3 linked regions of the Schizosaccharomyces pombe genome follow. The gene in region 3 interacts genetically with the main gene of each other region. Each region holds a gene or a part of one and is shown on either strand. Other genes may lie near its edges.

Region 1 (3,758 bases), 1.9 Mb from region 3:
ACACGTGCAAATCTGCAGGCCTTCATAGAATCGGGAAATAAACTGGAACAAAGGTGATGACGAATTCTGTCTCACACGATATAATTGTTTGGTGGAAGTCAGATTGTCCAACGATTGCAATGAAAGGCGCTCAGCTTTTGTTAATTGATACATGCGATAGCAACTTCACATGACACTACTTAAACAAATTTGTTGACTCGTAAGAATAAGTTGCTTTTGGGGGTTTGCGCCATTCGCAACTATTTGATAAATGTGTAGTTAAGAAAATCTTGGTTTGGTTATCTAAAATGGCGCGAGCTTCTCATCCAAACTTTTTCTTTAAAGCCATTTTAGAGACCAATAGTGAACTGATTATTGTATTAAAGATATAGTATTGCAGCAGTAAAATGTTAACATTAACGTAATCAGTGCACTCAATTTTGTTAAAACATAAGCACAAACGCAATGATAAAAGGCATTGCTGAACTTGGCTGATCTTTTTTCTTATTTCTCTTCTTTTTTTGTTTTTTTTTTGGAATAGGTAGAAAATCAATTAGGAAACGTCTGCTATGCCACCAGGTGTAATCACATAACTGCACTCGGCTTCAGGCATATCTGGAGAATCATTCAATTTTGCGACACGTTCCTCACCTCGACCTTTTCTTAACAGCAGACGGGTCGCGCTTGCGTGAGCCATGACATGGCCTCCTACAGGTTTTCGATCGTTGGACGCAAACATCATTGCTGCTCCGGGGTCTGCTTGAACCTGATTTGTGACAAAGACCGCTACGTTAAACTCTTCAGAAATATGATTTAATCTAGCAAGCATAATGTTTAATTTTTGTTGCCTTTCTGATAATTCCCCGCGACCCGAATAGTCAACCCGAAATAGTGCCATGATGGAATCGACAATTAACAAACGGTATTGGCCATCTTCAGCAAAAATGGTTCCTAATTTTGTGATGTATTCCATTTGTTGCTCAGAGTTGTATGCTCTACTGACAATGATATTCTCCATAGCCTGATCGGCGTCTACACCAAATCGTTCTGCAATGGCTTTGATTCGATCAGGTCGAAATGTTCCTTCTGTATCTATGAATGCTACTTTTCCTTCGGCCCCGCCCATATCTCGAGGAAGCTGGGCAGTGACACACAATGTATGCGACATTTGTGTTTTACCACAACGAAACTCTCCAAATACTTCTGTAATACTCATCGACTGAATTCCCCCTCCAAGGATGCCATTGAGTGCCTCGGATCCTGTCGAAATACTCCATACTTTTTTACGATTTTGACTGATTTCCATCGCAGTGGAAAAGTTTGCTGGGCACATTTTTGATGCCGCTTCCTTCAGTTTATCCACTTTGGCTTCGCTGAAACCTTTGATTTTAAGGAGAAATCTCTTTGTGGACATATGGACTCCTTGCACCGTACAAACGCCTGCTTGCTTCAATTTTATGATATCGGTCATACCAATCCCTTTGATTATGTTAGTAGATATTTAAAGCAAATACTGGGAGTCTTATAACTGCCGTATACTCATTCAAGCTTACCGTGAGCAGTTAGGTCTTCAATGTCACTAAATATCATTTGTTCATCATCATTCCCCTCTGCGAATTCTTCCATTGCACTTTATTTTTATATTGAACGTGTATTAATCAAATTACACGGTTTTTGGTTGTTGTTCGTACTATGTAGAAAGAAGAATTGCTGTAGTTATCCACGATATATATATTGCGGAAATTCCCAAAATTACCTCTCTAAATCACAACAAAAAAACAGTAGATCTATTTGTTTCTTTAGTTTAATTACTTTACAAGTTCAACTATAGAGTATATGCACTCATAATCATGTATTATACTTGATGCAGCTACATGTAAACAATGAACGCGTCGCGAAATATTGCTACTAAAAATGAAAACTAAACTCCATAGTATCTATACTCAAAACAAAATGCTTCAATCCTTAAAATGCCATAAATGAGTAAAACTGTTGGAGAGAACCTACCAAATGGGATGACAATTCATAGTCTTAAGTTACTAGTATGAAACTGCTTTCTAAAAAAGGGAAAAGTTAATCACGGTAAATCTTATTTAATTTTATGAGTAACTCTAAAAGTGCAAAAGACTCGTCAATTTCCTTCATTTGCAAAGTCTCAACACCAAAAACACAATACTTATGGTGAACCAATAACTGTCTGAGTAAATTTATACATAGCCATAAACGATTCTGAAGAGAGAGAGTGGGCGTCTCCCTCAAAAGGTCGATCGAGACATTTTAACTGTAGATTGTTGATGAGGTATTTAGCTGAAGCACTCGACAAGACAGAGGGAACAATAGGATCTTCGGTCATATAAGTCAAAAGAATGGGTATCTCTTTAGCAACTCGAGAGAGAGCGGATGGAAATTTTGAAGCCAAAGGTAAGAACCCTGAATGCCCCATAATTCCTGCTAAACGTTTGGGATAGGTAAGTCCAGCGTAAAGGGAAACCATACAACCTAGAGAAAATGACGAGTTAGTAAGCAATATACTTTTGAAAAGTGAAAACCATTTCACTTTTTTTTTGAAAATGCAATGACTAGCGAGTTAACCGCTTTCATGGCAGCTCATACCTTGTGAAAATCCGCCAATTAATATGCGATCACTAGGAATCCCCAAAGCAAGTTCTGCATCAATCAATTCATGCAATTGGCCTGCTGAACGTAGTATCCCATTCTCGTCCTCCCTCTTCATATCCGCAAAACTGTAGATATCATACCTAAAAAAGTTTTAGCGAACATTGTACTTTATCATCAAGCAGAACAATTACTTACCATGCTGGCATTTTCATGCCATTGTTGACGGTAACAGGGATAGATGGACTATATACAAAATAATTAGCATCAAAATACAAAGTATGTAATGCGAATTCTCATTCATTCATCACACATTACTTTAGACAATTGCATGATTAAATACATTCTTTTACTTACGCATTGGGAAAGATCCACTTAATATGCTTAAAATTCGACCACGTATTTGCCATAAAAGACCATCCTTGTCCACTATCTCCTAAACCTAAGATAAATGTGTTACTATTATGAAGAAAATATACGATATGTTTGTCTCAACATTATCATCGTTCATACCATGAAGGAAAATCACAGTGGCCGTATGCGCCACGCTGGGATTAATTATTACTGAATTGAGTTTGGCAGTCATAATGAAACGTTTTAAAAAGTACTAAGGGAATGGAGGTGTTGCAATAGGGCAAACACCAGTTTTATAAGACAGGTATTTGTATCAAAGCTAATTGAATCAAAAGCGAAGGTATGGTGTAAATATATAATATTTCCCTTATGATTTTTTCTTTTGCAGGCGAAAAATAATCGTAAAAAATGGTGTTAGCGTTAATCCAAGCGATATATGTATATCTTGAAACTAAGAATCCAAATTGAGTGCTGGCTATTACAATACGTTATCGCAATTTGTATACTAAGAATTTTGTTCCAAAGGTTTTTTTTTTTTGTTTATAAAACACAAAATTAGCTTGACTAATTTTTTTTTTTTTTTGTTATTTATATTGCTAGCCAAAGATGCTTTCTGCATTTCTTCAACCGCAGAGTCGTACTATACAATCCAACCACATTACAAAAATAACTTTTTATTTTCAATGGGAAAGTATTACTTGAGAATAGTTATAAAACAGACTGCTTAAATCTGTCAGCTGAAAACGCTTGTGCCAGAACATTACTCAATATCAATCGCGTATTCATATTCCTAGTACTGCACCAAAATC
Region 2 (3,758 bases), 850 kb from region 3:
TCAGGAAAATTAATCCTTTCCCTAGTAGTAACAACTAAAATATGGGCCATAGTTGTGAAAAGTTGCATGAGTGATTCTTGGGATTTATCATCGGCATTTAACAAGTTAACTGAAGCGCAAAACGAAGGAGTGGTGGAACTAATAATTAAACAAACACCACATTTAATCAAAGAAGGAGCATTTTGCACTCGAATGCAGGATTCGAATAACGACGGATCAACCGCTTTAGTAATGTTTGCAAAGTCATCAGCACTTTCACGTGCTATAGATAAGTATAAATAAAGAAAATCTATTAAAACGTAAAACTTTGAGTCCAAAAAATTGCTTTTTTCGTATTCCTTAAGAAGAAAACCACTTATTAAAGAAACGACATTTTCCTGAAAGATAAAGGTGGATGATTTAGGGTCCAAAATTAATAATGCATTAAACAAAGATGTTATAGCAAAGGAGGCATTATATAATAATTTTTTCATTGAATAATTTAAAATCGACGATGATGTTTGAACGACAGATTGTACATAATTGGAGGAATCCATAGATAGATCGGGACTGTATATTAGAGCTTTCAAGTTATTAAACAAACATTCACCTTCCTCCTCTCCTTCAATTGTTTCTAATGAATGCATACAACCACCAAATACGTATGCTAAAGTTCTAGAAGACTAGAAAAGTAAGAAAAGGGAATAAAATTTAACACGACAGTTTAAAAATACTTACAAAATACAAATCTTCTCTTTTTTGTAGAGAAAGTAAATCTTTCATCAGGCTCAAAGACAAACTTGCATCTGATATAGCAATACTAGAACTCACACTATCCGTTGAAGCATCTTCAGCAGTAGCAACACTTGTTTTGCGCTTCTTTTTAGAAGGGCTGTTTTTTGCAGCATGCTTTGTGCTCTTAGCAAGCTGATCAGAAGAAGATAACAATTTATTGTCACCATCTTCTTCATGGGATTTTTTCATAATCGGAGAATTCTTTACATCTCTTTTCATTTTTTTCATAGTTTCGATAGCATCCTGTGCTTCACGCTCATGAAATAGGGATTTCGTTTTTGCGTATTCAATTTCTTTTTTAAGCTCCTCTAATTTCCGTTGGTATTCATCTTGCTTTTGCTTTATAGAATTATTTAACGATTCTAGGGCGGCATTATTAGCTTCGGATTGTTTTAGAAGGTTAGCACGAAGAATTGCATTTTCTCCCGACTTAATTAAAAGTTCTGTTCGAAGGTCATTAGAGGATAATGAGGCTTGTGAGTTTACGGTAGATTCCCGGACTTTTTGAGAAGAATTGGTGTATGAATTTGGAAGATTTAAATTTTGCTTTTGCTTTTCACTCGGTACAACTACTTGAGAACTTTGAGCTTGAACCTGGGTTTGAGCTTGTTGCTCTAATTCATCTAAATTCACGCCTTCAAATATTTCATCCGAACCCAAACTCTCCAAGTCAAAACTTTCATCAGCCATCATTTTGTTTGTAGCTTTCACTCTCGTTTATGCGTAACAATAGTTGTTTGAAGTGATTCCAAATTGTAATATGGGCCCAATGTTTTTCTTATTCTGTAAAAAAGAATTGAATTCATAATAAATCGTAAATTGTTTCAAATACTTTCAGCAACCTTGGTAACTGTAATTATCGTAATTCAGCAATTGGAAAACCTTAACAGTTAGTAAGCAATATTATGCAGAGAAGATAAGGCCGAAAAACCATATCTCTTTCTAGTATGAATACCACATACAAACGAAACACTAATAGCAGAATATGACTGCAGTCACTAAGGCTGCTTAATCGCGTAACTTCCTGTATGAATAATTGAACCCTTGTAGCAATATGAATTGATTTTGCAGAGCACCAACAGATATGATAAATAAGATAGTCTTTTCCAAAATGCGCAGCTATATAAGATGCTTTAACGATACGTTTAACTGCTATGAGTATTTCTTGTGATCTTTAATTTACTTGTTGAACTTGGCGTATTAGTGCATTTTGGTTAGCAATCGAATAGCCAACTTGAAGTTTTACGAGTTACGTAATCGACAATAAGACCTCAAGTACTGTAAATCACTATTAGCCAAAAATCAAGTATTTGAATTGTCAATAATAAAAAATAAATAAAATAAGTGTATGATGTTTGAATGCTTTTAAAAATAAAACATGAGAAAAATATTTTTTATACTTAAATTAAGGTGTTATGACAAATGGCTTCCATCATTTATTCGAATTAATAAACATAAAAGAATTAAAAAAATGAAAATATTATTAAAAAAGTAAGATCGAATTGTAGTCTAACCAAATATATCAATGGATAAAATGAAATAATTTGTTATTTTGTTTTATTGTAGAAATTATTAATTTCAATCTCTATTGAATACTCATAACCTCGAAAAATTTAAAAGTTATTTATTTTCAGACAGTCCAACTCCTAATCGTAGAACATTTTATAGTTTATGCTGGTTTAAACGGTTTATTGTTTCAACTCGAACAACAATGACAAAGCCTAAAATGATGATCATATGAATTAACGTTAAGTTCATTGTTTCTCCCCCATCCATTTACTATATTATCAAAAATAAAAAGGAAAAATCTAAACCAAAACACTTAAAGCGTTAATTATAAGTATGTTTAGGTCAATGACAGTCATATAAACATTGATTAAATTGATCAATGCAGTACTATATTAGTCATATTACCAGTCATTCAAATCGTATAAATTAATCCATGGCTAGTAAATTGTTTAGTGACAGAGATTTTTCTCTGACATGAAATCTGAATTATTTCTCTTGTGAATATCTTTGTTACTTTCTCAAGAGTGTATGTATGTGCCCTAGAATAGTGACTTCCTTTATCAAAACTTCGAGTTTATTGCCCTTAGGAAACGTACATAAAAAAGTTGAAAGTCATGTTTTTTCAACATAAAAAAACACAAACAAAGACTTAAATAAAACTAGTACCATTTATACAATAACATTACTTGAATTAATAAATTTAAGTGTATTTTTGCGGCATTATCTCAAGGGACTCCAGTAGATTCTACCACTTACCACCTGGCAAAAGCAACACTCCTCCATGTCTACAAAATCCTACGATTATTTAATCAAATTACTTCTCATAGGAGATTCAGGTGTGGGAAAATCATGTCTTCTTCTGAGATTTTCGGAAGACTCGTTTACCCCTTCTTTTATCACAACGATTGGAATTGATTTCAAGATTCGCACGATTGAACTAGATGGAAAACGTATCAAACTCCAAATTTGGGACACTGCTGGCCAGGAACGTTTCCGTACCATTACCACTGCTTATTATCGTGGTGCAATGGGTATTTTATTGTTATACGATGTAACTGATAAAAAATCATTTGATAACGTCCGAACTTGGTTTAGTAACGTTGAACAACATGCTAGTGAAAATGTTTATAAAATCCTTATTGGAAATAAATGTGATTGTGAGGATCAGCGTCAGGTCTCCTTTGAACAGGGACAAGCGTTAGCCGATGAGCTGGGCGTTAAATTTTTAGAAGCTAGTGCGAAGACGAACGTCAATGTAGATGAGGCATTTTTTACCCTTGCCCGGGAAATAAAAAAACAAAAGATTGATGCAGAAAACGAATTTTCCAACCAGGCAAATAACGTTGACCTCGGAAACGATCGTACGGTGAAGAGGTGTTGTTAGGCTCCTTATTATTATCTTGTCACATTTTCTTTTTCGCTAGTTTTTGATATTAGCACCGCCGATACGTATATAGTCGTGAAGTGTGTGGAGA
Region 3 (3,758 bases):
GAATTATAATAAGTAACTTTCTTTTAAATTAAACTATGGATTTCTTAGTTAGAAAGTATTATACAATTTGTTGAATTTGCGCCAGCACTGAAATTAATATTAATAAATACACTGATTGTTTATCTTTTGTACGCTTGCCGTTTATTTTTCTTTTTTCCCTTCTTCACCTTTTTAGCTGAAAAGCTTTTGTTTTCTTTCATCGATAAGTTAGAAGTTTTATCCTTGAAATACCTGTCCTTTTGTTTATTATTATTGGGCAAGTCACTTTCAATAATCCTCTCCAATTCTGGTGCTGAGTTTGTATTTAAATAGTAAAGCACCATAAAAAGTCTATGTATGCAATCTTTAACTTCACATCTCGATAGTAGCAAATGGTCTGTTGAACCAGATATTGTTAAATCTATTTTTCGTAATTTTTCCAGTAAGCACTCTAAGCGCTCATTAGTTTTAAAATGCTTTTCATCCACCGCATATCCGAAGGTACGAATCTGGTACAATAAAGTTGTATAGTCATTATTACAGGAAGCGGAAATTTCATCTAGTCGTTGACATAAAGAAGAAAAGTCTGAATCATCATTTTTACTTTGTTTCCCAACAAATAATGTAAAAGCAATCTTCTTTCTGAATTTTTGGCAGGAACGAGACAAAGAAGATAGTATTGTAACCCAAACTCTAGGACTTTCAGACACCTTATGAATATTACTGATCAAAAAATCTGGATTCAATGATATTGGAAGTTCCATGAATTGAGAAAATTGCCATTTACAAAATGAGCCCACTTGATTGTCAATTAAGATTCGACATGCATCCTGAATCATTTCAAAGCGAACAGTGTCGTCGGAGAACCGATACAAAGTTCCACAGCATTTTAGGAAATTAATTACCTTAATTTTCAAATTGCTTTTTAAATTTTCTGAGGCTGACGTACGTTCCAACTGGATTGGTACCTGTCGTTTCGCTAAATCAATGCCAATCATATCTGCAGTAGTCTCAAAAATAAATCGTACAATTTGGTTGAGATTATTAGAGCTGCTTTTATAGCTATAAAAAATCTTTTCTAGGTTAGCAATCCATTCAGAGCATGTTGTGTCTCCTAAAGAGCGGAAAAATTGCAAGCTGCATATTGACAATGCAATATCTAAGGGGACCAATTTTGCCGATAATAAATCACCAAAAGTTGTTGGTATAATTCCTTCATTAAACTCCAAATCGTTATCTTTCAAGCATTCTGCTTTCAGGGTGTTCCAGTCTGGAACACGAGCTTTTGAATTGCTACAATATTCGTACCTAAGGTCGTCATCATAAATAGGGTTAGAACGTAGAACATTCAAAACATTTGATCCAACACTTTTTCCTATTAATTCATCAATTTCATCTCCCGTTTGAAAGGTTTGAGTGCTGTCATATTGCAATAAATTTTGTACTGCTAATTTTCTTCTTTTTGCAACCGAATCGTCAATTGTAGCAGTACTAGAAAGAAGATCAATATTCCATCTGTATGTAGATGAATTAGAAGAATCATTTTTCAAATACTGTTTTCGCGATTGGGCTCTTGCCGAAGGCACCAAAGAAGAGATATCAGGAAGCTCGTCCAACTCTTCAGAATCATCACTATCAAGTATGTGGTCAATTAATTTTGAAGAATTATCTAAATCAGGAAATTTTGAAATGTTATTAGACGCATTCATAGAACTATACCAGCAAAGACACTTTTGATGTGCTTTGGTAAAAGGGTGGATGGATATATAACAAAAATTATGAAATAGTAAATAGTGGAAAGTAAACGTTTATAATTTAATTATATAGCATTATAGTTTGACGACGATTGTTTTTTTGTTGTTTATAGTCTCATTTCATCCAATTTGAGCATTCCAAGCAAATAATATTAAACATCGAGTAAATTATTGATTTTCTTATTAAATGAATAATTTGTTAGTTTATAGCATTTCAACTGCTATTACCGGAGAAATCATAAACATATCCAAGCTGGCTTCGTTGATGTTTACATATGACTTTTCTTAAGCGAACATTCAAAAAAAAAGAATAGAAAAAACCTGTCATAAGCTTTTGTTAACAATTAATGATTTTTACTAATTCTGAGTTAAAGTTATTGGAAACCTTAGAAGAAAGAACACCTAAAACCAATTTAGGCACGTTTTCATTCAAAGAAATCTTTACAAATTACATTAAAACCAAAGAAGCCAAGTAAGGGAGTCAAACGAGTCAAACACAACTCCTAAAGAACAATGGCGACATTCAAACAGGCATTTAATGAAACAATTGCTGAGCAAGTATTATAATACTTGGCCTTATATAAGAAACGTCAAAACTTTTCTCTACACTTTAAATATTTTTGTTTTTGAAAGTAAAAGTATAGCAGATCGATTAAGTCCTTGGAGAGAACATAAGTGCGTTTAAATCATTTTATTCACTATCATCAATACAGTTGTTTACAACCTATAAAAGTATCCCACATATAGCTTGTTCTTCATACTACCGGCTTCGTAAAGGTTCGAGTTACCCCCACATAGACATTCGCAAATACTCTGGGCCTAGTCCTACGAAGTGAATGTGAACGTGAACTAGATTACGACTACAACTAGAAACTAGCGCTATGTGGGGGCCGTACAATGATGATTTATTAAACAATTATACTTCTCTTTTTTACTGACTTCTGTCATGGTTTTAGGAATCATTTAAAGTCGTTTAGTAGAAATTATTCTTTCTTTTTGATAGACACAAAAAAATACTTCGGTGAGAAGTTTAAAAGCGAATAAACGCAAAAAATCAATATGTCTTTTAAAGAAGTATCTACAGAAAATGGTGTTCTAACACCCTTGATCACAATAAAAGAAAAAGCGTACATGATTATTGAGGGACTCAATGAGGAAGAGATAGAGCTGTTAAATACTAGGTTGCCAAAGCTAAGTAAGAAAGCGCTGGCTAGAAACCGATACTCCAACATAGTCCCTTATGAAAATACTCGTGTTCGTTTAGATCCAATGTGGAAAGAAGCATGTGATTACATTAATGCTTCCATAGTAAAAATCCCTTCTGGGAAAACATTTATCGCTACTCAGGTTAGGAATAAAAAGAAATTGCGGGATTGTAAACGGCTTTGGCCTTTTTTCTTTTCATCATTTTTTGTAACATAATTACTAACTTAGTCTTCTTTATTTATATAGGGTCCAACGTCGAACAGTATTGATGTTTTTTGGAAGATGGTCTGGCAATCTGTGCCAAAATCAGGCATCATCGTTATGCTTACCAAATTGAGGGAACGCCATCGTCTGAAATGTGATATCTATTGGCCAGTGGAACTGTTTGAGACACTTAATATCGGTGATTTAAGCGTTATTTTGGTAAAAGTTTATACTTTGACATCATTAAATGAAGTTCAAGTTCGTGAATTTGAGCTGAACAAGGACGGGGTCAAGAAAAAAATTTTGCATTTTTACTATAACGGTTGGCCTGACTTTGGTGCACCACATACCTTCTCACTACTATCACTGACTCGCTATATAAAAAGTCTCTCATATTCTCCGGACTTTGAAACAGCACCCATTATAGTCCATTGTTCAGCGGGTTGTGGCAGAACGGGAACTTTCATGGCGTTATTTGAGATTTTATCTCAAACAGATGACTCTACTTCAACTTCGAAATTTGAGGTGGATAATATCGCAAATATAGTTTCCAGTCTTCGGTCACAAAGAATGCAATCTGTTCAATCGGTCGATCAGCTTGTTTTTCTTTATACA

What was found.
Region 1: of nse6 (region 3) and dmc1, a mutation in one rescues a mutant of the other (synthetic rescue), as found in Schizosaccharomyces pombe (2 studies listed by BioGRID, with this or other methods).
Region 2: mutations in nse6 (region 3) and rad26 impair growth when combined (synthetic growth defect), as found in Schizosaccharomyces pombe (2 studies listed by BioGRID, with this or other methods).

The regions. Positions count from the first base shown.
Region 1 is NC_003424.3:3,380,179-3,383,936, reverse strand, and holds dmc1 (RecA family ATPase Dmc1), read right to left. Parts: upstream 1,674-3,758; 5' UTR 1,606-1,673; coding exon 1,533-1,605; exon of another isoform or gene 1,459-1,532; coding exon 533-1,458; downstream 1-532. Other genes in the region: SPOM_SPAC8E11.04C (palmitoyl-(protein) hydrolase), read right to left, coding at 2,156-2,478, 2,593-2,738, 2,794-2,841, 2,953-3,037, 3,109-3,181.
Region 2 is NC_003424.3:4,448,824-4,452,581, reverse strand, and holds the start of rad26 (ATR checkpoint kinase regulatory subunit Rad26), read right to left. Parts: upstream 1,978-3,758; 5' UTR 1,737-1,977; intron 1,657-1,736; 5' UTR 1,468-1,656; coding exon 718-1,467; exon of another isoform or gene 663-717; coding exon 1-662. Other genes in the region: GTPase Ypt2, read left to right, coding at 3,065-3,667.
Region 3 is NC_003424.3:5,296,046-5,299,803, forward strand, and holds nse6 (Smc5-6 complex non-SMC subunit Nse6), read right to left. Parts: upstream 1,736-3,758; 5' UTR 1,689-1,735; coding exon 120-1,688; 3' UTR 4-119; downstream 1-3. Other genes in the region: protein tyrosine phosphatase Pyp3, read left to right, coding at 2,793-3,080, 3,186-3,758. UniProt on the Schizosaccharomyces pombe protein: Acts in a DNA repair pathway for removal of UV-induced DNA damage that is distinct from classical nucleotide excision repair and in repair of ionizing radiation damage.